Xenopus tropicalis: one gene and its partners. The protein of the gene in region 3 interacts with the protein of the main gene of each other region in a biochemical or structural test. Links are inferred from orthologs where the notes say so. Each region holds a gene or a part of one and is shown on either strand. Other genes may lie near its edges. The genes, in order: frmpd4, slc16a7, sntb1, gucy1a2, mapk12, tanc1 and asnsd1.

The links.
Region 1: the proteins of sntb1 (region 3) and frmpd4 interact in a test that uses a peptide from one of them, tested with the Homo sapiens proteins (2 studies listed by IntAct, with this or other methods). The link is inferred for Xenopus tropicalis from reciprocal best matches to the Homo sapiens genes SNTB1 and FRMPD4.
Region 2: the proteins of sntb1 (region 3) and slc16a7 interact in a test that uses a peptide from one of them, tested with the Homo sapiens proteins (2 studies listed by IntAct, with this or other methods). The link is inferred for Xenopus tropicalis from reciprocal best matches to the Homo sapiens genes SNTB1 and SLC16A7.
Region 4: the proteins of sntb1 (region 3) and gucy1a2 interact in a test that uses a peptide from one of them, tested with the Homo sapiens proteins (2 studies listed by IntAct, with this or other methods). The link is inferred for Xenopus tropicalis from reciprocal best matches to the Homo sapiens genes SNTB1 and GUCY1A2.
Region 5: the proteins of sntb1 (region 3) and mapk12 interact in a test that uses a peptide from one of them, tested with the Homo sapiens proteins (2 studies listed by IntAct, with this or other methods). The link is inferred for Xenopus tropicalis from reciprocal best matches to the Homo sapiens genes SNTB1 and MAPK12.
Region 6: the proteins of sntb1 (region 3) and tanc1 interact in a test that uses a peptide from one of them, tested with the Homo sapiens proteins (2 studies listed by IntAct, with this or other methods). The link is inferred for Xenopus tropicalis from reciprocal best matches to the Homo sapiens genes SNTB1 and TANC1.
Region 7: the proteins of sntb1 (region 3) and asnsd1 interact in a test that uses a peptide from one of them, tested with the Homo sapiens proteins (2 studies listed by IntAct, with this or other methods). The link is inferred for Xenopus tropicalis from reciprocal best matches to the Homo sapiens genes SNTB1 and ASNSD1.

What each region holds. Positions count from the first base shown.
Region 1 is NC_030678.2:106,170,728-106,173,962, reverse strand, and holds part of frmpd4 (FERM and PDZ domain-containing protein 4), read left to right. Parts: coding exon 1-367; intron 368-626; coding exon 627-1,844; intron 1,845-3,235. UniProt on the Homo sapiens protein: Positive regulator of dendritic spine morphogenesis and density. Required for the maintenance of excitatory synaptic transmission. Binds phosphatidylinositol 4,5-bisphosphate.
Region 2 is NC_030679.2:63,059,274-63,062,773, forward strand, and holds part of slc16a7 (monocarboxylate transporter 2), read right to left. Parts: intron 2,032-3,500; coding exon 1,231-2,031; intron 1-1,230. UniProt on the Homo sapiens protein: Proton-coupled monocarboxylate symporter. Catalyzes the rapid transport across the plasma membrane of monocarboxylates such as L-lactate, pyruvate and ketone bodies, acetoacetate, beta-hydroxybutyrate and acetate.
Region 3 is NC_030682.2:138,721,935-138,726,036, forward strand, and holds the start of sntb1 (beta-1-syntrophin), read right to left. Parts: upstream 2,792-4,102; 5' UTR 2,725-2,791; coding exon 2,241-2,724; intron 1-2,240. Other genes in the region: uncharacterized protein LOC116411753, read right to left, coding at 2,792-3,069, 3,634-3,979. UniProt on the Homo sapiens protein: Adapter protein that binds to and probably organizes the subcellular localization of a variety of membrane proteins. May link various receptors to the actin cytoskeleton and the dystrophin glycoprotein complex.
Region 4 is NC_030678.2:160,383,158-160,386,657, forward strand, and holds part of gucy1a2 (guanylate cyclase soluble subunit alpha-2), read left to right. Parts: intron 1-1,730; coding exon 1,731-2,455; intron 2,456-3,500. UniProt on the Homo sapiens protein: Has guanylyl cyclase on binding to the beta-1 subunit. Isoform 2 acts as a negative regulator of guanylyl cyclase activity as it forms non-functional heterodimers with the beta subunits.
Region 5 is NC_030679.2:71,612,651-71,616,699, reverse strand, and holds the start of mapk12 (mitogen-activated protein kinase 12), read right to left. Parts: upstream 2,801-4,049; 5' UTR 2,434-2,800; coding exon 2,309-2,433; intron 1,775-2,308; exon of another isoform or gene 1,664-1,774; intron 1-1,663. UniProt on the Homo sapiens protein: Serine/threonine kinase which acts as an essential component of the MAP kinase signal transduction pathway.
Region 6 is NC_030685.2:73,467,259-73,471,475, reverse strand, and holds the start of tanc1 (protein TANC1), read left to right. Parts: upstream 1-1,417; 5' UTR 1,418-1,767; intron 1,768-4,132; 5' UTR 4,133-4,217. UniProt on the Homo sapiens protein: May be a scaffold component in the postsynaptic density.
Region 7 is NC_030685.2:47,714,720-47,718,219, reverse strand, and holds part of asnsd1 (asparagine synthetase domain-containing protein 1), read left to right. Parts: coding exon 1-1,122; intron 1,123-2,078; coding exon 2,079-2,260; intron 2,261-3,500.

The DNA of each region.
Region 1 (3,235 bases), on a different chromosome or scaffold from region 3:
AACCAAACAGACATTCTCAGCATGTCTGGATCTAGTGATGACATCATAGACCTGACATCACTTCCTCCACCCGAAGGCGATGATAATGAAGATGATTTTTTGTTGCATTCGCTGAATATGGCGATTGCTGCTCCACCACCTGGATTTCGGGACAGTTCAGATGAAGAAGACTGTCAGAATTTGTCGAAACCCTCTGGAGCAGCTAACAGTATATCTCATGATGATATCCCTGTGTCTCTCATTGATGCAGTTCCTACAAACACAGATGAAAAACTTAAAACAATCCTGGAAGAAACAAGTGTTTCTGATCTTCAGACACTGCAAGATTTGACTGTCTCTGAGGAAAACCAAAGAGATGACACCTCAGGTTCTTTCACCATTGTAACTTTTATTCATTAGCATACCATTCCATCCATATGAATCATCACATATTTTTGTATTTTGTTTTTATCATGTTTCACATACAGACCACCTTTCATCGTATTCATTGGACTTAATTTTTAATTTATGTTTTTTTCACCCTAATCTTTTTTTATTAAACCGATTAAAAATATACTTAACACTTTAAATGGTATTTATGAAAAGTATAACCTTTATTAATATGCTCCTTTTTTTGTGGTGTACAGGTGTAACAATGTTAAGAGCATATAGTCCTGAGTCATCTTCTGATTCTGGTAATGAGACAAATTCTTCAGAAATGACTGAAAGTTCTGAATTAGCAACAGCACAGAAACATCCAGAAGTTTCAGCACGCACCATTTTGCCTGTTAGTGAAGATTACCAATCCCTGATGGAAGAGCAAACTGATTTTTCTGTTTCCAAGGGTCAAACAGGAAGTATAACTATCAAAGCCACACTGTCTTCAATAAATCGGCAAGCTGCGGAACTGCAATCAAAAGCTGTGCCTTCAAAACAGGTCATCCATTCGGATAACATTGAGATGGAACCAGAAACAATGGAGATAAAATCTGTGTCAGAATACTTTAATAAGGTGCACATGGGTACTCTGGTGTACTCCTGTAAAAAGAAGAACAAGCTACCAGATGCCGAGGCAAAATCGCATTTTGATGTAAATGTTATGGTTAAAAAGCAAATTGGCAAGAGACCAGAATCTGATGGTGAACTGAAATCCAAGGACTGTCAGCATCTGGCCAATTTTAACCTAGAAAGGACAGCTTTTCGTAAAGACAGTCAAAGATGGTATAATACTGCAGATAGAAGTGCAAGTGATAAGCTATCAACAGATGCTCACCATATTAAAACATTGCCAAGACTTTCTTGTGTTGGGAAAACAGAGACTGATATAATAGAAGAAATGAATGATATTACATTATCTGGACTTAAACAAGAAGATATATATATCTCAAATGCAAATTACATGTCTCCATCCAAAGAACATACTATCCCAAATGCTGATGATGCCTCAGCAGAACACATGTCTAAGCTTGTAGATCCTGGTGATAACCATATAGCCAAGAACATTTCATCTTTTCAGAGTGAGGGACATTTTTCTCTTCAGAGTTCCCAATGTTCTTCAGTGGATGCAGGATGTAGTACTGGTAGCAGTTCATGTGCAACCCCTGTGGAGTCTCCTCTGTGTACTGGTGACGTAAAACATATTCTCTGTGATGCATCAGTAAAGAGTGGTGTCTTGATTCCCCTTGATGAAAGATCTTCTATGCTTCCAAATCTTGGGGCACCATTTACAGAATTACATCAACAAACTGAAGCTGCTTGTCATAGAATGAGTGTGCCAGTTATGCATGCACCAGTCAATGCAGAGCCAGTGTTTGGCACTTTAAGAGATGGATGTCACCGTGTTTCAAAAATTAAAGAAACCACAGGTACATGACTATGTGCTTCTAATTTATTACTGCTCCCTATAAGTTTTAGTCATGTAATGGAATTCCATTTGTGAAATTTTAGTAGCTAGGATCTCAGTTAAAGAATTGTTATGGATCAGGATTATGTAAAGTTTATTGATGAAAACAATCCCCCAAAACAACAGCGGCCTTCTTTTTTTTTTCCAATCACGGTAGAGCTAACAAAACTGGCTTTAAATTAAAATGTATAACAGTTCAATTTTTCTCTAATACTGTAGTTAAAATTCTTACATTTAAAGCTGCATAAAATATATATCTACAAGGTACTGTGATTTTGCTTGGTCTCTTGACATAAGCTTTCTTTATTATCCCTTAATCTTTTTCTTAAAAAATGACATGGTTACACATATCTTAACTTAAAAATATTTATTTTTGTAAGGCTTTGGAGCATAAACATATTTTATCTAGAATTCATTTTAAAGGAGAAGGAAAGTGATTTTGGCATTTTACTGCCAATAAATTTGCCACATTAGTGCCACCTAGAACACTATATTTATTCTGCAGAAAGCATCACCATACCTGAGTAAAGAGCCCTAGAAGCTTTCTCTGTTTGTTTAAGATTTCAGCTGCCATTTTAGCTTGGTCTTCATAGCTTCCTGCTTGCAGCTCTAGCCTTTATAGCTCAGATCACACATTCCTAAGGGAGGGGGAGTGAGTTTTATGAATTCTTATGGGAGGGGGGAGCAGGAGAGAGGAGAGAACTGCGCAGACTCTGGCCAGGGAATGAAGGTTTTTTTCTGAGAGAGGATCAGATACCAGAAGAACATGTTAACAAAAAATGAGACAAGAAATCCTGTTTCTTTTGATAGAGGACCTTTCTGTGAGTGCTTATGGCTGTATTTACATAGACTTTTCTGATAAAGCTAAATTAGTTTTTACCTTTAAGAGAAGAACAGGCTGTAGTTACCGAGCCGACACAATACAATAAAATCTAGACCAATAAAAAATACATTTACAAAAGCTTTATATTAATAACTATGATGTCAATTTATTATATTAATAGCAGTTAGTCATAGGTTAATTTATTATATACTTCTGATAAAGCTAAATTAGTTTTTACCTTTAAGAAAAGAACAGGCTGTAGTTACAGAGCTGACACAATACAATAAAATCTAGACCAATAAAAAATACATTTACAAAAGCTTTATATTAATAACTATGATGTCAATTTATTATATTAATAGCAGTTAGTCAAAGGTTAATTTATTATATACTTCTTGATACAGGAGTGCAAACACACAGGATAAACAAACACAGATGGTAAATAAAGTGGCATTATCTACAGCAACTAAAGCTGAAGAAATGTGTAATACTATAGCGAAAAAATATTTATATTAAATAGATCTTCATTT
Region 2 (3,500 bases), on a different chromosome or scaffold from region 3:
CCATTATATGGGGCTTATCTACTAGTTATCTGCTATGTAACCTGTGCCTTTTCTCCTTTTTTCCAGCTTGAATGGCTGCCCCCATGGCTACACGGCAGCTTATTTATATAGTAGCTTTTCTGTAGCAAAAACACCAGTTTTTTGCAGAGCAACAGCACATTATATTTTAATTACTTTAAAGCACTTTAATTTTTTGATGTTACTGTTCCTTTAAGCAGAGCTCAGGAGAGGAGTTTAGGAGAAAAAAAATAGGAGCAGGAATATTCTGCTGGTTCGTAAATAACATATATTACACAACCAATTCTGTATTGTTGGTGCAATTTTTGTGGAGACATTCTGTAAAAAACAAAACAAAACACTATTTTGGGAAAACAGTGCCAAGTGGTCAAATTTTTACACTTTTAAAAATCCTTCAGTGCATGGGCACGAGTCTGCTCATCTTGCTCCTCTCTCCCCCTCCCTTTTCCTCCTCTCCCTCCCATCAAAATTTGCTCCCACCTCCCATCTCTGTGTAAACTGAGCTATCAGCAGCTAGAGCTGCACCATGGAAGCTACTAAGACCAAGCTAAAATGGCAGCTCCTATCTTAAGCAAATACAGGGAACTTCTAGGGCTGTTTAGTCAGGTATGGTAAAGCTTTCTGCAGAATAAATATAGCATTCTAGCTTGCATTATTGTGGTTAATCTATTTGCAATAAAATGCCAAAATGTATTTCCTTCTCATTTAAGTGTATAAACCCCAAGGTGTTCTTAGCCACAACCCTCTCAAGAAGAACTGCAATATTTAAAGCACCCTTAACCTCAGAAACTACATTGCATTACTTTTAAAAGTCTGAATATCCTAGTACTTTGGGAAAAACTGACTTCAAAAGCCAAATCACTGCTTATAGAAAAAGAGGGAAAGTGTCAAAATGTATTTAAGTTGCCAGCCCCTTCTATTTGTAGATACTGCAATGGGAAACACACTGACTACGTCTTGCCGTAAAGTGCCTTGGGTGAATAGAGCAAGAAACGTTGTTGTTCTTAAGTTTAGACTTTTTTGCGGCTTTCATTATTGCTCAGCAGAATTAGATCAAAGTGTTAATTTAGATGTGAAATGAATATTCTATTATACTATGTTTTACTGAAACATTACTGGAAAATCACTGGTTAATCTATAAACCCTTTGTCATAATATGCTGTATACATATATATATATATATATTTTTTTTTAATCAACAGGAATTCTTACCTCCTAATGGAGGCCCAATCAAAACCGGGCAGCATTCCACAATTGTTGTAAGTCCAACAGCGCTGGAAAATCTTGCAGCTCCTACAATGTCCATTAGTGTCTCAAACAGGACGCTGCTCACCATTCCAAATGCAAATCCAAAAAAGACAGCATAAATCACTAGGCCAGTGTAATCATTGGCCAATGGACATAAAAGATGGCAGACACCATTATACAAAATTGCAAAGCTAAAAAAATATTGAATTCTGGGACGTATAAATCTAGTGTTTGCAACCATTCCCATTGTTGGTCTGGCAACCATATCTACAAAAGCTAGGATAGACAGCAAAAAAGCAGATGAGTATTGATCTATACCCATATGCTTTGCATAGGGGGCAAGGAAAACAATAGGAGCAAAAAAGCCAATAAACATGATAACATTTCCAGATAAATAAATTAGAAATCCCCTGTGCTTAAAAAGTGATAAATCTAAGTATTTGTTGATGCTTTGACAAACAGATTCTTTTTTCTTGTGGTTTTCATCATCCTTTGGTGCTTTTTCAATATCTTTTTTCACAGGCTTTGGTCCAATTGGCCTCATGAGGGAGCCAGCCACACAGCAGTTTAACAGAAGACCTCCTAAGATTAGAAAGCTACCCCGCCATCCAAATTGATTAAAAAGAAATTGATTCAGTGGAGCCAAAGTGCTTAAAAACACGGGACTCCCAGCCATGGCAAGTCCATTTGCTATGGGGCGCTTTTTGAAGAAATACTTTCCGATAATTGTTAAAGAAGGCTGAAGATTAAATGCTAATCCAAAACCTGTGGGGTAAAATAATAAAACACATCTTAGTTGGAAATTCTTCATTGAGCATAACCCTAATATTAGAGTCCCCCAGTATTCCAGGCATAAAAATCAAGATATTTTAAGTCATGTCCCCAGTCCTTCTAGCTCTTGCCTACTTTTCAGTGTCAATAGTTATTAAATCTAGCCAGCATTTTGAAAAGCTTAAGAGAAAGGCCAGCAATTAAGTCTTATAGTGTAGTATAGTATTTCTCCTTATTAGTTATGTAACCAGATGTCTAGATTTGACATTGTCTTTCTAATGGACACCAGTGAGTTTTTATACCACCTCCAGAGTAGGGTTGTTATACTATGCCACCAGAGTTAATTATATATATCTTACCATCCACTGATGGTAGATGTGTATTTACAGAATATGTTTGCTTTCCACCTGGTGACTAGTAATTGCTACCTGCTAACTGGTTGCTAGGGGTTACTGCTTCATAACCTCATATAGGTTTCAATGGGCAGTATTCATTATCCCCTTGACTATGCAGATCTTTCAATTTCAGGATAAACTGAATTAAATCTTCTTTATTGGATCCCCCTTTTAACCTTATGATTATAGGTGTAATACATAAAATGCTAAAATAGTGTAAAATACCTTTTAAAAATTCTATTTTAGATTAAAATTACACAACATTTTAGTTGAGTTGTAAATGCATATCAGAAAAACATCCCAATTTTGTTAATGCCCCAGCCAGCAGTTAGTGGTCTTTAAGCTCTCAAACATAGTTACACGTGTAACTATGGTGCAATATAATAACCCTACCCTGTAGGTGGTATATAAACCCACTGGTGTCCATTAGAAAAATTGTTAAATCTACATATCTGGTTACATAACTAATAAGGAAAAATACAACACTATAAGAGTTGCTTTTCTTTTATTGTTTGATTTTTGGAAGGTGAGTGAGCCTGAAGAAGAGTCAAAACACCGGATATCATTTGTCTTGCCCAATTATGCCTACCAATGCCCAAGATGATTCACAGTTCTGACTGTTCCAGAGAACATTAAGAGGTATATAATAATCCTTTTTCTGAAAAAAAAATCATATTCTGATGTTTTAAAAATAGAAAATATGAAGCATAGCTTTATGTAAACAGCAATGTAAACTTTAATTACTTGACACAAAGGGTCATTCACAACTTCTATACCAAAATATTTTATTCTTTAAATGAGAAATGCGTATGCTTACCTGTGAAGGATTCCATACAAACATGTCAGTGGTAAATTCTTCTGCAAAGTTATAAAACAAGCAATACCTCTAAAGAGCTACTCACTTATGGATTATTTCACAGTAAGACCAAAGTAGTAGTTACCTCTAAAAGGTTATGAGATTATTTATTGTTTTGTTTGAGTGGCAACATAACCATTTGTTCAAGGAAGAAAGCTTTCCTGAAAGCTTCTTTTTTTACCAAATAGCCCAAACTGGGCATAAGTTTCTAT
Region 3 (4,102 bases):
GAAACATAAAGATGCCTCTTGATATGTGTTTTATAATGATCTGTAAGAAATAAGATGCTTTGCAGGAAGGTATTTTTTGTTTTTGATGTAATATTGATTTATATGTTTTTTTGGTTTTTGTTTTTTGCTTGATTGAAATGTAATTATTGTTTTATTGTATTTGTTAAATATATTTTAATAAAATTCTCTCCCTACTATACCTGCTATCCCACAGCCCCAGTCCCTTCCCAGAGGCTATTATCCCACTGCTACTATAGGCACCATCTCTCCCTACTATACCTGCTATCCCACAGCCACAGTCCCTTCCCAGAGGCTATTATCCCCCCACTGCTACTATAGGCACCATCTCTCCCTACTATACCTGCTATCCCACAGCCCCAGTCCCTTCCCAGAGACTATTATCCCCCCACTGCTACTATAGGCACCATCTCTCCCTACTATACCTGCTATCCCACAGCCCCAGTCCCTTCCCAGGGGCTATTATCCCCCCACTGCTACTATAGGCACCATCTCTCCCTACTATACCTGCTATCCCACAGCCCCAGTCCCTTCCCAGAGACTATTATCCCCCCACTGCTACTATAGGCACCATCTCTCCCTACTATACCTGCTATCCCACAGCCCCAGTCCCTTCCCAGAGGCTATTATCCCACTGCTACTATAGGCACCATCTCTCCCTACTATACCTGCTATCCCACAGCCCCAGTCCCTTCCCAGAGGCTATTATCCCCCCACTGCTACTATAGGCACCATCTCTCCCTACTATACCTGCTATCCCACAGCCCCAGTCCCTTCCCAGAGGCTATTATCCCCCCCACTGCTACTATAGGCACCATCTCTCCCTACTATACCTGCTATCCCACAGCCCCAGTCCCTTCCCAGAGGCTATTATCCCCCCACTGCTACTATAGGCACCATCTCTCCCCTACTATACCTGCTATCCCACAGCCCCAGTCGCTTCCCAGAGGCTATTATCCCTCCACTGCTACTCTAGGCACCATCTCTCCCTACTATACCTGCTATCCCACAGCCCCAGTCCCTTCCCAGAGGCTATTATCCCCCACTGCTACTATAGGCACCATCTCTCCCTACTATACCTGCTATCCCACAGCCCCAGTCCCTTCCCAGAGGCTATTATCCCACTGCTACTATAGGCACCATCCCTCCCTACTATACCTGCTATCCCACAGCCCCACTCCCTTCCCAGAGGCTATTATCCCCCCACTGCTACTATAGGCACCATCTCTCCCTACTATACCTGCTATCCCACAGCCCCAGTCCCTTCCCAGAGGCTATTATCCCCCCACTGCTACTATAGGCACCATCTCTCCCTACTATACCTGCTATCCCACAGCCCCAGTCCCTTCCCAGAGGCTATTATCCCACTGCTACTATAGGCACCATCTTTCCCTACTATACCTGCTATCCCACAGCCCCAGTCCCTTCCCAGAGGCTATTATCCCCCCCACTGCTACTATAGGCACCATCTCTCCCTACTATACCTGCTATCCCACAGCCCCAGTCGCTTCCCAGAGGCTATTATCCCTCCACTGCTACTCTAGGCACCATCTCTCCCTACTATACCTGCTATCCCACAGCCCCAGTCCCTTCCCATAGGCTATTATCCCCCCACTGCTACTATAGGCACCATCTCTCCCTACTATACCTGCTATCCCACAGCCCCAGTCCCTTCCCAGAGGCTATCCCCCCACTGCAACTATAGGCACCATCTCTCCCTACTATACCTGCTATCCCACAGCCCCAGTCGCTTCCCAGAGGCTATTATCCCTCCACTGCTACTCTAGGCACCATCTCTCCCTACTATACCTGCTATCCCACAGCCCCAGTCCCTTCCCAGAGGCTATTATCCCCCCACTGCTACTATAGGCACCATCTCTCCCTACTATACCTGCTATCCCACAGCCCCAGTCCCTTCCCAGAGGCTATTATCCCACTGCTACTATAGGCACCATCTCTCCCCACTATACCTGCTATCCCACAGCCCCAGTCCCTTCCCAGGGGCTATTTTCCCTACTATAAGTATAGAAGTTGCTGTGCTAGCTGTACAGTCAGTGTTGGTGAATCTGTGGCACATTACAGACACCCTGTGGGTAGGACACCCCTATATTTGTGCTACAAGGTTGCTGCCATACACAAGACTGAAAGTAGAAGAATGTGAATGTGAGTGCCACCTGTGTGACCAGCCTATATCACATACATAGCCCAATGCCCAGACTTACCCTCCAGGATCACCTCCCTGCCAGCCTTCTTTAGTGCCTGCACCGCCTCATCATGAGTGGCATCCCTCAGATCCAGCCCGTTGACAGTCAGGATGGCATCTCCCACATACAGGGACTGGGTCTGATCCGCTGCCAGCCCCTTGAAGATCTTGCTGATGAGAATGGGCATCTTGTTTTCCTTTCCCCCCTTGATGCTGATGCCCAGCCCCCCCAGCTCCTGTTTGACCACCTTGACTGCCCTCTTCTTGTTGGCAATGGCCTCCGGCACGGTGTCGGGCAGTTCGGTGAAGGCAGTCCGGACCCCCTGGGGGCTGCTGTTGGTGCCATTGGTCATGCTGTTAGAGCTGGGGGCATCCTCCGGCCGCTCCGGGCTGCTCAGTACCAGGGAGCTCTCATACAAGTTGCCCAGAACTTTGTGCCAGCGGCCCCGCACCAGCACTTCCAGCCAGCCGCTCCGGAGCGCTCCTGCTGCAGCTACCGCCATGCCCGGGCTCTGGATCCCATAGCCAGTGGGTGCGGGCAGGACCTTCTCCGGGCAGTCCCGGTGCCAACTAATCTCTCTGCTGCCGATTCCTGCGGGGCGGAGCGAAACTTGGGGAAGCCTGGGAGCGCTGAGCCAACAGAGGCCAACAAGTCACACATGCCAGTGTGGAGCCGAGGGTGGGCACCGGGCTGTGCCAGGGAAGGCAGAGCACTAACTTCTTACTGCTCGGAACGGACCGGGAGCCCAGGCAGCACTCTGCCTTCTTCCTCATTAGAGGCTCTGCCGGATTAGCCATAGCGCACACTGACATCTGCCGGCGCTGCGGGGAACTGCAGCTGTAGGGGTCTGGGATTCCGATGTAACCCGCACAGCGCTGGGAATATGCCCCTCTGCCTGTGGCCCTACACTGGGCCCCACACTCGGCCCTACACTGGGCCCCACACTCGGCCCTACACTGGGCCCCACACTCGGCCCTACACTGGGCCCCACACTCGGCCCTACACAGGGAAATACACTGGGCCCTACACTCGGCCCTACACTCGGCCCTACACTGGGCCCCACACTCGGCCCTACACAGGGAAATACACTGGGCCCTACACTGGGCCCCATACTCAGCCCTACACTGGGCCCCACACTCGGCCCTACACAGGGAAATACACTGGGCCCCACACTGGGCCCCACACTGGGCCCTACACTCGGCCCTACACTGGGCCCCACACTCGGCCCTACACAGGGAAATACACTGGGCCCTACACTGGGCCCCATACTCGGCCCTACACAGGGAAATACACTGGGCCCCACACTCGGCCCTACACTGGGCCCCACACTCGGCCCTACACAGGGAAATACACTGGGCCCTACACTGGGCCCTACACTGGGCAATACACTGGGCAATACACTGGGCCCTACACTGGGCAATACACTGGGCCCTACACTGGGCAATACACTCGGCCCTACACTGGGCAATACACTCGGCCCTACACAGCTCCTGCTTGACCACCTTGACTGCCCTCTTCTTGTTGGCAATGGCCTCCGGCACGGTGTCGGGCAGTTCGGTGAAGGCAGTCCGGACCCCCTGGGGGCTGCTGTTGGTGCCATTGGTCATGCCGTTAGAGCTGGGGGCATCCTCCGGCCGCTCCGGGCTGCTCAGTACCAGGGAGCTCTCATACAAGTTGCCCAGAACTTTGTGCCAGCGGCCCCGCACCAGCACTTCCAGCCAGCCGCTCCGGAGCGCTCCTGCTGCAGCTACCGCCATGCCCGGGCTCTGGATCCCATAGCCAGTGGGTGCGGGCAGGACCTTCTCCGGGCAGTCCCGGTGCCAACTAATCTCTCTGCTGCCGATTCCTGCGGGGCGGAGCGAAACTTGGGGAAGCCTGGG
Region 4 (3,500 bases), on a different chromosome or scaffold from region 3:
GTCTTTTGGGACATGTTTTAGTAAGTTTTTGGGCTACATAAAAATATGAAACAACCAAAACCAGAACACTTTAATCTAACCCTAGTCAAATGAGACATATTTGTGGGACTCTGAAACAATGCCATCATAGAATACTGTCCGAGGGGGCGGAAGAGGGACAGCTTTTGACATACGAATAGCTAAACACTGTTCCTAGTACCCACTAGCACTGGGGAAGGAATGAATAAATGTGAATCTCTGACGTCTAATCTTCTGTGAGGGAGTAAAGCAATTTGCCTCGCAGCAGTAGATTTCCTGATATACTAAAGTGTGCCATTCTATTTATATCCATCAGGAAGTTAGACAGATTGTTCATTATCAGCATTGAGGAGACAAACAGGTCTGACATACGACACTATGAGGGTAGAGTACCCGCCCTAGCATATGTGTTTTAGCCAGGGCTATGTCAATCATTGGTTTTGTGAATAGGAAAGCTTTGGTTGTCTGCATTAAATTCTTTTATTGCTGGAAATACAAATAGTCGCGTGTTTCAGTGTAGAATTTTTGGGCAGCTTTATAAAGGGCTGAACTAGTCAGTGGCACTTCTAGCCTTCCTGGCAATGCCACCCCAACTTCTACTGTGCCAAAACAGGGGGCACTGGGTGCGGTATTGCTTGGGTAGAGAACTTAATTATAAAAATAGCAGAATTCTGGTTTCAAAAAATGTATATTTTGCTCTTAAAGTTATCAGGGTGATTATAAGGCTGATTTGTAATTAATACAGATAATTCCAACATGGCATCTCTGAAACCAGTGCAATTAGCATCAGAATTTAATGATCAGCCCTGTAACAGCAGCTTATATGACAGGCCAGCCTCATTTTCTGCTTGATGATTTGCGACTGCTGCTCAGAGCGCACTGAGCATGTGCAGTGTCCCAGAATGTTCTAACAGAATCCAGGATGGAGAGCTCCAGTGACAACTGTAAAGACCTAGATCCTTACTACTATAGAGATGCTGAAACTTTAAGCCAGTGCAGTAAGTTTAGTATATAAAATATGACCAATTTCTAGCCATATTTATCTTTAGGGTTTAGTTCTCCTTTAAATGGAGCATACATTAATTGCAATCCCATCCAAAAATCAATATTAAACAGCCTAATTGCCATTTTTTACTCTATTTTCTCTACAAAGGGGCTGCCATATTTGTGCAGCCATAATCTGTTAGCATTAGAAGCTGTAACTGTCAGGATGAGGAATTTCATGTAACAATTACAGGTATGGGATCTGTTATCCAGAATGCTTGGGACCTGGGGTTTTCCAGATAAGGGATTTTTCAGTAATTTGGACATTAAATAAAGCAAATGGGCTTGTTTTTCCTCCAATATGGATTAATTGTATCTAAGTTGGGACCAAGTATTACAGAGAAAAAGGAAATCATTTATAAAAATTTAAATTATTTGATTAAAATGGAGTCTATGGGAGACAGTCTTCCCGTAATTCAGAGCTTTCTGGATAATGGGTTTCCGGACAACTGATTCCATACATGTGCTTATAAAAGCCTATCAGTGAAAAACAATCAGCATGGCCTGTGGGTAACTTTCAATGCACATTAATATTTTGATGAGTAGTTTTTTTTAGTGTCAGTGTCACTTTAAAGGTTCATAAAAACGGTTGAACTCTATGACTGTTTCCTGACATGTATCAATTGGCGAGAATGATAATGCTACTAAGAAACTCATTTTGCTTGCAGGTATAAAGTTTGAAGAACTGCAAGAGAGATTTGGTGAAGAATTCTTCAGTATCTGCTTTGAGGAGAATGAAAGGGTCCTCCGAGCAGTGGGAGGTACACTACATGACTTTTTCAATGGGTTCGATGCTTTATTGGAACACATTAGGACTTCAATTGGAAGACAGGTGACTCTTGAATCTCCATCTTTCCTATGCAAGGAGCTTGCCGACGGGACCCTACTACTTAGCTGCTTCCATCTTCATCATATTGTTGGGTTTGCCATGAAGGGTTTGATAAAGGCAGCAGGAAAGAAAATCTACCAGTTAAAGGTTGAGGTGGAACAAGTGAACAATGTGAATGAAAAACCTTGCCCCGATATCATAAGACCGGGTAACTTTAACTGTCTTACTTTTAAAATTAAAGAATGTGATAATGCAAATCTCATGAAAGCACCTCTACTGCAATCATCCCACATCCCATCAGATTTGAGGATAAGTATTAGCACTTTCTGCAGAGCTTTTCCTTTCCATTTGATGTTTGATCCAAACATGCTGATTCTGCAGCTCGGAGAAGGACTCAGGAAGCTGATAAAATGTGAGGTCCACAAAACGATGCAGTTTCATGACAGTTTCGAAATAGTGTCTCCAAAAATCAGCTGCACGTTTGAACAGGTCCTCTTGAGGCTGTCCACCCCCTTTGTCATACGGAATAAACCAGATGCACCCACCTTTGAAAATAAAGACAAGGTAAGGGGCTTATATTCTTTAACCTTCTAAAAGTACATGTGGTAAAATAAATTGTACATAATGTAAAGGATTTGTATTTCAAGAAATGAAATAAAATTGGATGGCTCAAGGACAGGTTGGTGGACAGGCCTTTATACAGGATGTGTGCATACAATTTACTTTGAGAAGATCAATATTCAAGGCATTGTATGCGGCCGTATAATGGCATGGTACCTGATACTTTGAACTTCGGAGTCTGTGGACTTTTTGTGCTCTGGTCCCCATTGGTAGAACAAACCTTTCTCAGGATCCCCTTAACCTCAAGTACCCCCCTTCAAGTTTGGTCAAATTTTCAGTGGATCGAGCCCCCTAGAGTAGGTAATATGATGATCTACAAGATCTGTGCACTTGTCTATGATGATTCTAATTCATCCAGGTCATGATATACAGTATCTAGTAGAATTAAGTCTAAAACAACTGGACTTTTCTGAGTTTTTCTTGAAAACGTTTCACCACTCATCCGAGTGGCTTCTTCAGTTCAAATGACTGGTAGGGAATTCCCCGGTACTGTACTACCATCAAGAGTTTAAATACCGGGGAATTCCCTACCACTTCTTTGAACTGAAGAAGCCACTCGGATGAGTGGTGAAACGTTTTTAAGAAAAACTCAGAAAAGTCCAGTTGTTTTAGACTTAATTTTACTAGATACTGTAAATCGTGACCTGGATGAATGAGAATCTTCATAGACAAGTACACAGATCTTGTAGATCATCAGTTGTTTTAGACTTAATTCTACTAAATACTGTATATCTGTGCACTTCCAATTGTCTACATAGTAGTACTAATTTAGTGACCAAAAATATGCAGTTTGCCCATTTATTTGTACTTTGCACATTATTTTGAATGCCTCTGAGGAAGTTAAATCAATGGCGAAATGGGTAGGGCTGCATACGTGAACTGTAAGAGGTGACTAGTCCCTTTCAGTTCTAAGTAGACAGTTACCCCCATATGTAGTTAAAGGTACTAAGTTTTCCCAGGAGTAGTAGCCCATAGCAACCAATAAGAT
Region 5 (4,049 bases), on a different chromosome or scaffold from region 3:
TAACTGTAGATATTAGTATCACAATAGCCTTGGATATTCTGCTTGTTCAAAAACTCATCCAGGCACCTCTTAAAGGCATTAACAGAGTCTGCCATTACCACATCACTAGGAAGGGCATTCCACAGCCTCACTGCCCTCAACGTGAAAAACCACCTACGCTGCTTCAAATGGAAGCTCCATTCCTCTAATCTAAAGGGGTGACCTCTGGTGCGTTGATTGTTTTTATGGGAAAAAAGAACATCCCCCAACTGCCTATAATCCCCTCTAATTTTGATTATTATATGATTTGAGGAGGGTATACGGCAGGGGGTCTGTTAGCCTTGCTGAAAAACACCCAAACTTGGTTAGCCATTTCCCAATAAGTGCAGCCTGTTTAACTAGGTACAGGATCCAGTCAACAAAATCTGTGGAAATAACCTAAAAATAAAAATCCTTTAAAGACATTACACATTAAAAGATACAGTTTAATAGGGGCAATGTCTGCCAGTTATTTTGAAGTAATAATGTCTCACAGACTGATCTATGCAGACCTTGAGCAGGCTAGAGTGGGTCATAAAAATCACTTGGAGACAGTGGGCCTCCAGTTGGTCTGTCCAGAGCTAGAAAATATGCATAGATATTTAGTAATAAGCCACTTGAAAGTGCCGTGTAATAAATAGCCATCATCCATTGCTGCTTTTTCCTTTACACTCTAGCTCTGCCAGAAGTTTCCCATTGACCTAAATGGGAAATTCCATAAAAATAATGGTGGTGTTAATTATGAACAGGCAGTGTAAAATAAAATTAAAGCCTTTATAAATGTGTCAGTTATTTTACACTGCTTTTTAAAGTGTTTTCAGAAGTAAATAAACAGTCCCTTTGTGTTGCTTTTTTATAGAATGCTAAATATGGTTCTAGCTGCCCAATTCTGTCAGCCAGGGGACATTTGAATGTTACCTGGACCTGACCCTGCTCGGTTGCAACAACAGTTTGGCTTGTTCTAAATATGTGAAATAATTAATTCTGTAAAAGCAGAAAATCAGTTTTTCAACAGACTTAAGCAAAGGGAAATTGTGAACAATACAGTACCTTATCCTTGGTAGCATTGCGGTGGCTGTAAAATGTTACAACTCTCTACATCTGCAGTAAGGGCATTAGTAACTGAACAAAGAGAACTACATTTTAGCTTTAAATTAATGTTTATGTACTAAATTATAAAGATAAAATACCCAGGGAACATACTATTTATTGCTAATCCCCACGGTTTTATAGACAATTACTCATTTCAAACATTTGATTAAACTACAAAATGCTCTATGATGATACTCTCACATAATTCAGTGCGACAGGGCTTAGATTGTAAATGGTATAGAGGCATATTTCATCTGCACCATTTTACAGTACTAAACCCGCATAAAACATGTAAAGTTTGTGGATATTTACCTTAGTGATATAGGAATCATGCAGGAATCATATAAACAAGGTAATATGCCTAGAATTCTCTATGCAGCAAGGAAATGTTATATAGCAAAAATGGAACACAAAGCTATGCCAAGTGCAACACAATACAACCATCTGGTGGCTCATAACCCTTTGGTAGTTGGTCAAGGGGTAGTGAGGTGAACATTTAAGACATGACAGACATGCAAATAAAACCCCAGAATTGTAAAAGGGATGTCTTTACCTGCATGTTCACTGCACAAATGTCACATGGGTGCCATAATCATGGGGTATAGCTATGGGTCTATACACACGGGGGTTTGTACCAGAGCCAGCAGCATTATTGAAATCATGTCTGAAAAGACAGAAAAACAGGGAACAATTTCCCTATGGAGCAATCTACACTGCCACTAGACAATTAGTGCCAAAAAATATAATTTACTTGTACTGAAATGCTCTATAGAAATGTGACCTATTTTTTAGCAATGCTGTGCATGTATAGAATACCCAGCTTGTACACAAGCTATTTTTGAGCTTGGCAATTTGTGTTTGTTCTTGTGTTTGTTCCATTTGCCAATAGAGACATAATACAGCATTTTAGGTCCAGCAAGCATTTTTGCAAGCTGAAGGCAATATAGCTGGCAGGTATAGAAACTTATGTAGAGTACTATGGCAATATCATTTGTTTGTGCCAGTTGAAATCGAATACACTGCATTATACAAAACCCTAACTCACAGTACTACAATGATATAGGACTCCAATGCAGTCTGCAGGGGCTGGCACACATATGGCTCCGCTCCTGTGATTCCTGGCACAGATTACACAAACCCACAGGTGTTGGTCCAATGAATGATAACTTTCATGAATATTTGGAGCATTGCAACTTACCAAACAGTGCCATAGGCTCCTGATCCCACAGCCACCAGGTCTCTGTACCTCTCCTTCACCTCCCAGACGGTCTTATTGACGTCCTGCCTATAGTATCCCTTCTTGGGCAACGGGGAGGTGGACATGGCTACTAGTTGCCAGCAGGCTCCTGTTGCACTAGTACTATGTGAATGTGGGTCCCAGGCAGAGTCACCTGACTGCTGATACTGGGCGGCTCTCCTGAGAGGTACAGTAATGTCACGGTGAGCAGTACTGACTTGTCCTGCTCTTATTCACCATGAGGGACCGGCTGCCTTCTTTACGTAGAACAGTCTCTTCCGACCAGCCCCTCTTTCTGCGTCTTCGCTCTTCGGTCAGCTCTCGCCTTCCACTTTCGTTTTCCTTTTGTCCACTGTGCGTATTTCCCGCACCCTCAGCCTGCACAGTAGCTGCCCAGTGACGGGAAGTATTTCCCATATAGAGCCCGGAGCTTTGTGCCGTCACGTGACCCGGCCAGTCCTTCTCCCCTCCCTTCTCCAGTGCGCAGATTAGTACTTAACCCACTCACTGCTCTAGTCCGACACAGTCCTAAAGTGATTTGGGAAGTTATGTGGCCGGGAATTCGCTCACACGTTCATACGTGTTATGACCCTTCGCTACAAGAAGACGATCTTTGCATTATTTTTCAATGTGAAGCTTTATGACCTCTCTTGGCATGAAGTGCCATTATTCAATTATTATTCAATAACCCACTGCTACTACTAGGCAGTTCAACCTAACAAATTCATTCTTCCCCAATGGGTTTTTATCAGACTCGGTTTACATTATTACTAATGCTTATTTGTAATTATTATTTGTTCGTCTGTGAAATTAGATTACACAGTTGTAATATCTCAATGTGGCTGTAGTCCCAGTGTACCAAATCTAGAACAGGCTTTTGTACCTGTAAATTTAAATTGCCATTATTAAAGGCCCCTGCTGAGCTCCAAATAATCTTGGGGCAAAAGAGCCAACTCAGCCTATTGTTATGCTCCTATAAATGCAACAGACTCTTTTGACACAATTACAAGCTATAAAAGGTCCCATTGTAATATTAAGTAAGGGTGTAGCTTAGTAGCTAAAAGGGTTGTGACCATAATGCTGGCAGCAGGGGCCTAAGGGGACACAAATAATATATTTTCCCATAGAATAACCAAAAATGCAGATTAAATGAGATATTTAGTAACGCCACATGCAAGGGTCAAGGAATATTGGTGAAGGGGTTGGATTAATACTTCCTGGTCAGCAGGGTAATTAAACCATAGCAACCAAATAACAGTCAAAACTCTAAGCCTGACAGCTGCAGAAGAAACTATAGGTTTTAATGACCTATCATTTCCCATTAGGGACCAGGCCCAGCCCCAAGGGAGCATGATATTCTTGGATGCTGTAGTGTAGTTTATACATTATATTCATGTGCAGCACCCTGAACAGACAGGTCCTGCATGCAACTTACACTATTTATATAGTGTTTGAGATGCAAGATTAAGCACGCCTAAACTCATGTGCGATTTGATTCAGCTTTATTTTGCCTGATTGTACCCGCCTGCATCAGGATCTGCATTTTAGCACAGCTGCGTTACAATGTATTTCCTTAAACACAACATGCTGCATTTTTATGCCTTTAACATGCCTTATAATTCAATCAAACAGTTGTCAAAAAATATGTTTTTATTTATTCAAGAAGTTGTGTGTTTATCAAGCTGGGTTCAAATGTGTTCTG
Region 6 (4,217 bases), on a different chromosome or scaffold from region 3:
CACCCATTAGGGCTGATTCACTAAAGTGCGTTAAAACATGCGTTATTTATAGCATGCATAAAAAATGTTATCGCGTCTAATTTTTCGCGTCTTAGCGCACGATTCACTAAAAGGATATTTGCGCTAATTTACGCGCGATACTGCTTGCGTTATTTTAGTCACGAAGACTATTTTCATGCAGTATTTGATGGAACGAGCGCTAATCAACGCACCGCGTATAAATAGTTGCCGCGTGTGAAAAAACGCACGCCATGTTAGCCGTACATGCCAATACTTTCGGAAAATTACTGTACTGAAAATGCCCATTTCCCTGCAAACTGGCGGCTGCATCACTCTGGGGCCAACACAGACTTGAATAAATCTCACTGCAAAGTCCATATTGTGTTGCCAAAAGCTCATTAACTGTACTTTTCTATAATTACCGCCTGCCTCAAGTAGGTGTTAATTTTCGCACAGACTAATGCGATATTTAGCGTGTCTCAGTGTTTGTGAATCATGCGTTAGTATTTATTTCTGCTTGCAAATTAACGCATGCGGTAGCGCGAAATTTAACGCATGCGATATGCGACTTAATGCACGCGATACTATTGTAGCGAATTGCGTGTTCATTTTTGTGTCTATTTTAACGCAAAAAAGCATGTGATAAAAATTAACGCACTTTAGTGAATCAACCCTATTGGCTTTTGTTGTCTAATTCCCGTGACTTCTAGAAGGAAACTTATAGTTACCATAACTGGAAGTGGAGTGGATCAGGGCTCTAGAACCTGTGGCAAGAAATGAGGTCCAGGAGCCGCTCCTCTATCCAGTTGTAGTGAATAAACCTAATTTACCATGATGCAACCTAGTGATGGTCAGCATTGGCCCAAATTCCTCAGCTTTACCGCAACCAGTATCATGGAGATCCCTATTGCTGGCATCAGTGACAGGGAGGGATCCTATTATAAGGGCAGGCACAGGAACTAAAGCAACAGGTCCAACTGACCCAAGCCAAGCCATTGACCTAAGCAGCCCATAGGAGGACCTGGCACACTGGGAACCAATTTGTCTATTGTACAGCAGCAGTTTACCTTGAATGAAATGTTAGCTTGATGCATGTTGTATTCAGAAATGTAAAACAAAATGACAATGGCATTACATATCCTGTGCATCCAGGGACAGAGTAGTCAGAATTTGTTTTAAAGTAAACTCTCCTATGAAGGAGTATAATATAATATTTTGTGCTGATTCCTGAGAGGTGGGGAAGCAGATTGTGCTGCACTGGCCTTTCCTTGTTCGGGTGTAGCTCTCAGAGCTTTGGCATCTGATACAAGACATGCAAATGGGAGTCATTTTAAGTTCCGCTTCCCATAAAGCTGCTGTTTCCCCCGGGGGAAGTTCTGTCACTGTCACAGTGTAATATTTACTTATCCAAACAGCTCCCACCGACTCCCCCCTCAGGCACCTCTGCCTTTCACTCTGCCTTTAGCTCTACCCTTAGCTCTGGGCTGTGCCCGATAGCTGGATGCGCCACCTATGGTTGCTGTTGGTACTGCAGGAGGCGGTGCGCTGGTGGGAGAGTTGCGCTCTCTGAAAGCCGCCTGGTGGGACAGTTCTGCCGGAGGGAGACGGGCTGAATCCGGCGGGATTAGCTGCTGTGCGCTGGGAGGGAGGGAGACCAGGAGCCTAAGGAGGAGGAATAGCGGCACCGGAGAGAAGTCCGGAGTATAGGGACACGAAAAGAGCCGACTGTCGTGGCGGCGGGAGAGGGTAGAAAGTTAGGAAGGAAAGGTAAGAAAAAGTGATGATTTGCTGCTGCCACTGTGGGGCAGGGGAGAAATAGAAGGCAGGGGAAGGTACGGGAGCAGTCAGAATGTAGGCAGGGAAAGTACGCGAAAAGTGAGTATAAATGGCCGGGAAAGTTGGGTAATACTGTAGGGAGGGCAGAATTGTGGGAAGGGAAAGGTGAGGGGCAATTGATGGCAGTGTAAGTAGGGGATAAGGATACGTAATAGTGTCGGTAGGAGAAGGGGAAGTGTGGGCAGGGGAGAAATAACTGTGTGGGCAGGGAGTTATGGGGATAAGTACTGATAGCATGGGCAGGTAGGTAGGGGGAAATAACTGTGTGGGCAGGGAGTTATGGGGATAAGTACTGATAGCATGGGCAGGTAGGTAGGTAGGGGAGAAATAACTGTGTGGGCAGGGAGTTATGGGGATAAGTACTGATAGCATGGGCAGGTAGGTAGGGGGAAATAACTGTGTGGGCAGGGAGTTATGGGGATAAGTACTGATAGCATGGGCAGGTAGGTAGGGGGAAATAACTGTGTGGGCAGGGAGTTATGGGGATAAGTACTGATAGCATGGGCAGGTAGGTAGGTAGGGAGAAATAACTGTGTGGGCAGGGAGTTATGGGGATAAGTACTGATAGCATGGGCAGGTAGGTAGGTAGGGAGAAATAACTGTGTGGGCAGGGAGTTATGGGGATAAGTACTGATAGCATGGGCAGGTAGGTAGGTAGGGAGAAATAACTGTGTGGGCAGGGAGTTATGGGGATAAGTACTGATAGCATGGGCAGGTAGGTAGGAGGGGAATAACTGTGGGGGCAGGGAGTTATGGGGATAAGTACTGATAGCATGGGCAGGTAGGTAGGGGGGGAATAACTGTGGGGGCAGGGAGTTATGGGGATAAGTACTGATAGCATAGGTAGGTAGGTAGGGGGGAAATAACTGTGTGGGCAGGGAGTTATGGGGATAAGTACTGATAGCATAGGTAGGTAGGTAGGTAGGTAGGTAGGGGGGAAATAACTGTGTGGGCAGGGAGTTATGGGGATAAGTACTGATAGCATAGGTAGGTAGGTAGGTAGGGAGAAATAACTGTGTGGGCAGGGAGTTATGGGGATAAGTACTGATAGCATGGGCAGGTAGGTAGGGAGAAATAACTGTGTGGGCAGGGAGTTATGGGGATAAGTACTGATAGCATGGGCAGGTAGGTAGGTAGGGAGAAATAACTGTGTGGGCAGGGAGTTATGGGGATAAGTACTGATAGCATGGGCAGGTAGGTAGGGAGAAATAACTGTGTGGGCAGGGAGTTATGGGGATAAGTACTGATAGCATGGGCAGGTAGGTAGGGGGGGAATAACTGTGGGGGCAGGGAGTTATGGGGATAAGTACTGATAGCATAGGTAGGTAGGTAGGGGGGAAATAACTGTGTGGGCAGGGAGTTATGGGGATAAGTACTGATAGCATAGGTAGGTAGGTAGGTAGGGGGGAAATAACTGTGTGGGCAGGGAGTTATGGGGATAAGTACTGATAGCATAGGTAGGTAGGTAGGTAGGGGGGAAATAACTGTGTGGGCAGGGAGTTATGGGGATAAGTACTGATAGCATGGGCAGGTAGGTAGGTAGGGGAGAAATAACTGTGGGCAGGGAGTTATGGGGATAAGTACTGATAGCATGGGCAGGTAGGTAGGTAGGGGGGAAATAACTGTGTGGGCAGGGAGTTATGGGGATAAGTACTGATAGCATGGGCAGGTAGGTGGGCAGGGGAGAAATAACTGTGTGGGCAGGGAGTTATGGGGATAAGTACTGATAGCATGGGCAGGTAGGTAGGTAGGGGAGAAATAACTGTGTGGGCAGGGAGTTATGGGGATAAGTACTGATAGCATGGGCAGGTAGGTAGGTAGGGGAGAAATAACTGTGTGGGCAGGGAGTTATGGGGATAAGTACTGATAGCATGGGTAGGTAGGTAGGGGAGAAATAACTGTGTGGGCAGGGAGTTATGGGGATAAGTACTGATAGCATTGGCAGGTAGGTAGGCAGGGGAGAAATCCAGCAGGGCATATGGGTGGAAGGGACAGTGGGTGGGTGGCACCAACATTACACCTATTATATACGGAAAGGGGTAGGGGTGTCTGGGGGCTGTCAGGATAACTTTCCTGGAGATATTTTTTTATTATTGCGCAAGGGCAATTTACCCTTACTAATGAGGCATTAGAGCAGATTCACCATTCTCCTTTTTGTATCTTTTCCCTTACACCAACTTTTCCTCCACTAATTGGCAAGGAGCAAACCAGGATATCTGCATTTATCAGTGCTCATGTTAATGTCTCATTAGTAAATGCAATTAACTCGCTGCAATTTTATCATTTTCTTTAATAGAATTGCACCTCCTCCCATCGGTCTGTTGCCTCCAGGCTGGGCAGTGTGCTGCTATAAGAGCTTGGAGATCCAGTGCCCAAACAGT
Region 7 (3,500 bases), on a different chromosome or scaffold from region 3:
GACACTCAGATAATGTTTCAGCACCTCTCTAAATGTGATGATGAATCCAAAATCATGTCTCTCTTTGCTAAGGTGAAAGGTCCATGGGCCTTTATCTACTATCAGGCTAACTATCACCAATTATGGTTTGGAAGAGATTTTTTTGGTAGGAGGAGTCTTTTATGGAAATTCACTGACGATTTAAACAAGGTTTTCTCTCTAAGTTCAGTATCAGAGTGCAGGTCTGAATCAGACTCTGATGATTGGCAGGAAGTTCCAGCATCTGGACTCTTCAGATGTGACCTACAGTCAAGTGCCAAGTTAAAATATATAGAATTAACATGGTATCCCTGGAAGACTGCTTCAGATATTCTGCCAACAAAAGAATCTCAGATTTTAAAATCTTCCTCTTTAGTTTCTATTGTACTTGGAAAAAGTAAATGGTTAACTGCTCCAGTTTCTCCATTAAATAAACAGATCCCTGAAGAGTTTAAAAAATCGCATAACATCAGTTCTCAAAACAAAACTGCTGTAGAACATCTTAGGATGCTGGCCACAGACCAACACAAAAAAAATGCTCAGTCTCTTATAAAAATTTTAAGTGAAGCTGTAAAGAGAAGGGTTTTATGTCTTCAGCGAGAATGTAATTTAATGTCAAATTCTGAAAAAAATGCAAATGTTGCAATCCTGTTTTCTGGTGGTATTGACTCAATGATTTTAGCAGTGCTTGCAGATCATCATGTTCCACCCGAGGAACCTATTGACCTTCTCAATGTTGCCTTCATGATGAAAGAACAAAAATCCAGTGGTTTAAAAAAACACCTACCTAAGTGTACTTTGCAAATTGCAAACCCTGACCGTCCTACTTCGTATTCTCAATTTGATGTTCCTGATCGTATCACTGGCAGGTCAGGTTTCGAAGAGCTCAAAGCTTTAAACCCATCAAGAACTTGGAATTTTGTGGAAATTAATGTTACACTACAAGAACTCCAGGAAATGAGGCAACACCGCATTTGTTATTTGGTACGACCTCTCAGTACTGTTTTAGATGATAGTATTGGCTGTGCTGTCTGGTTTGCTTCAAGAGGAATAGGTATGCTGACGAGTAATAATGAGATGAAGCCCTACAATAGCACGTCAAAGGTAATAATCCAAATAACCTAAAACATTATTGAGGGAAAGAAAACAGCCACTTTTAAATGCTACAATTTATTGGGCTAAATACAAAGCACACTACAGGTGTGGGATCTCTTATACAGAAAGCTCAAAATTATGGGAAGGCCATAATTTGTTTGTTTTCTGGTGGTTCTCTACAATGTGCAGAGGGGAATATGTGAAATGGGATAGCTTTGTATTAGCCAGCCTATGAATATCTAATAATCCCAGGCAGCAGTGTTTATTTTTGTACAGTAAAATAATTAGCACAGTAGGCTATAAACATAATAGAACACAAAACATGTACATAGTGCTTATTATACGGCAAATCACCAGTATAAACAGCTAAATCTAGACACTGATTTTACAGTTTACAAATTTAGAAGGGCATAGTGTGTTTTTATGGGTTTTCCCTATTGTGTAGCTGAGTATAGCTAAAGGGATTTGCTTTTATTATTGCATAATATTGGGTACCAACAATCTATAATGATGATTTTACCCATGCCCCAGATGCAATTACTAAAGCACCAAGAAGTGCAATATTTTGCCTCTTAGGGCTCATTTACTGAGCACTTACGACTGGACCATTGCGGTGATCTGCACCTTTTTGAAAATTGTAAGTCTGTATAATGTGCTAGTTAGGCAGTGTGGTGGGAGTTGTGCCTCCCCAGCCTACTCCTTATGAATAAAATACAAAGCTGATCAGGGACCGGTACAATTGGCACCTTGGGGTCAGGAAAGAATTTTTCTCCTTTCAGATGGTGTTTTCCCTTCCTCTGGGTCAACAGTTTATTTAGACAAATAGGTTAAACTTTATGGACATATGTGCTTATTCAACATAAATTACTAATTTTTTTACTTCAACATTAATGTGTGATTCTTTGGCATAAATCACAGCAACGAGAAATCGCAATTCTGTTATTTTTACTTAACTTTCTCTCTAGGTTGTGCTAACAGGGATTGGTGCAGATGAGCAACTTGGTGGCTATTCTCGTCACCGTGTAAGATTTAATAGTCTTGGGTATGAGGGTCTCGTGGAAGAACTGAGCTTGGAACTGGACCGAATTGCTTACAGAAACCTTGGTCGGGATGACCGTGTCATTGGGGACCACGGAAAAGAAGCAAGGTAGGTTGCAAACCTAGACTATTTATTTTACAGTATGACTATTGGATCAGGTATTCTTTTTTTTTTTTGTAACTTATATTTTTATTAGGTTTTGACAGTGTTGATTGTACAGTAACAATAACAAAAAATAAACATATATATGTTAACAGTGCAGTCTGGTAGAGTTATGAAAGATATACAGTGGTGTGAAAAACTATTTGCCCCCTTCCTGATTTCTTATTCTTTTGCATGTTTGTCACACTTAAATGTTTCTGCTCATCAAACACATTTAACTATTAGTCAAAGATAACACAAGTAAACACAAAATGCAGTTTTTAAATGAGGGTTTTTATTATTTAGGGAGAAAAAAAATCCAAACCTATATGGCCCTGTGTGAAAAAGTAATTGCCCCCTGAACCTAATAACTGGTTGGGCCACCCTTAGCAGCAATAACTGCAATCAAGCATTTGCGATAACTTGCAACGAGTCTTTTACAGCGCTCTGGAGGAATTTTGGCCCACTCATCTTTGCAGTATTGTTGTAATTCAGCTTTATTTGAGGGTTTTCTAGCATGAACCGCCTTTTTAAGGTCATGCCACAACATCTCAATAGGATTCAGGTCAGGACTTTGACTAGGCCACTCCAAAGTCTTCATTTTGTTTTTCTTCAGCCATTCAGAGGTGGATTTGCTGGTGTGTTTTGGGTCATTGACCTGCTGCAGCACCCAAGATCGCTTCAGCTTGAGTTGACGAACAGATGGCCGGACATTCTCCTTCAGGATTTTTTGGTAGACAGTAGAATTCATGGTTCCATCTATCACAGCAAGCCTTCCAGGTCCTGAAGCAGCAAAACAACCCCAGACCATCACACTACCACCACCATATTTTACTGTTGGTATGATGTTCTTTTTCTGAAATGCTGTGTTATTTTTACGCCAGATGTAACGGGACATGCACCTTCCAAAAAGTTCAACTTTTGTCTCGTCGGTCCACAAGGTATTTTCTCAAAAGTCTTGGCAATCATTGAGATGTTTTTTAGCAAAATTGAGACGAGCCATAATGTTCTTTTTGCTTAAAAGTGGTTTGCGCCTTTTTTGCCCAGTGTCTTTCTTATGGTGGAGTCGTGAACACTGACCTTAATTGAGGCAAGTGAGGCCTGCAGTTCTTTAGATGTTGTCCTGGGGTTTTTTGTGGCCTCTCGGATGAGTTGTCTTTGCGCTCTTGGGGGAATTTTGGTCGGCCGGCCACTCCTGGGAAGGTTC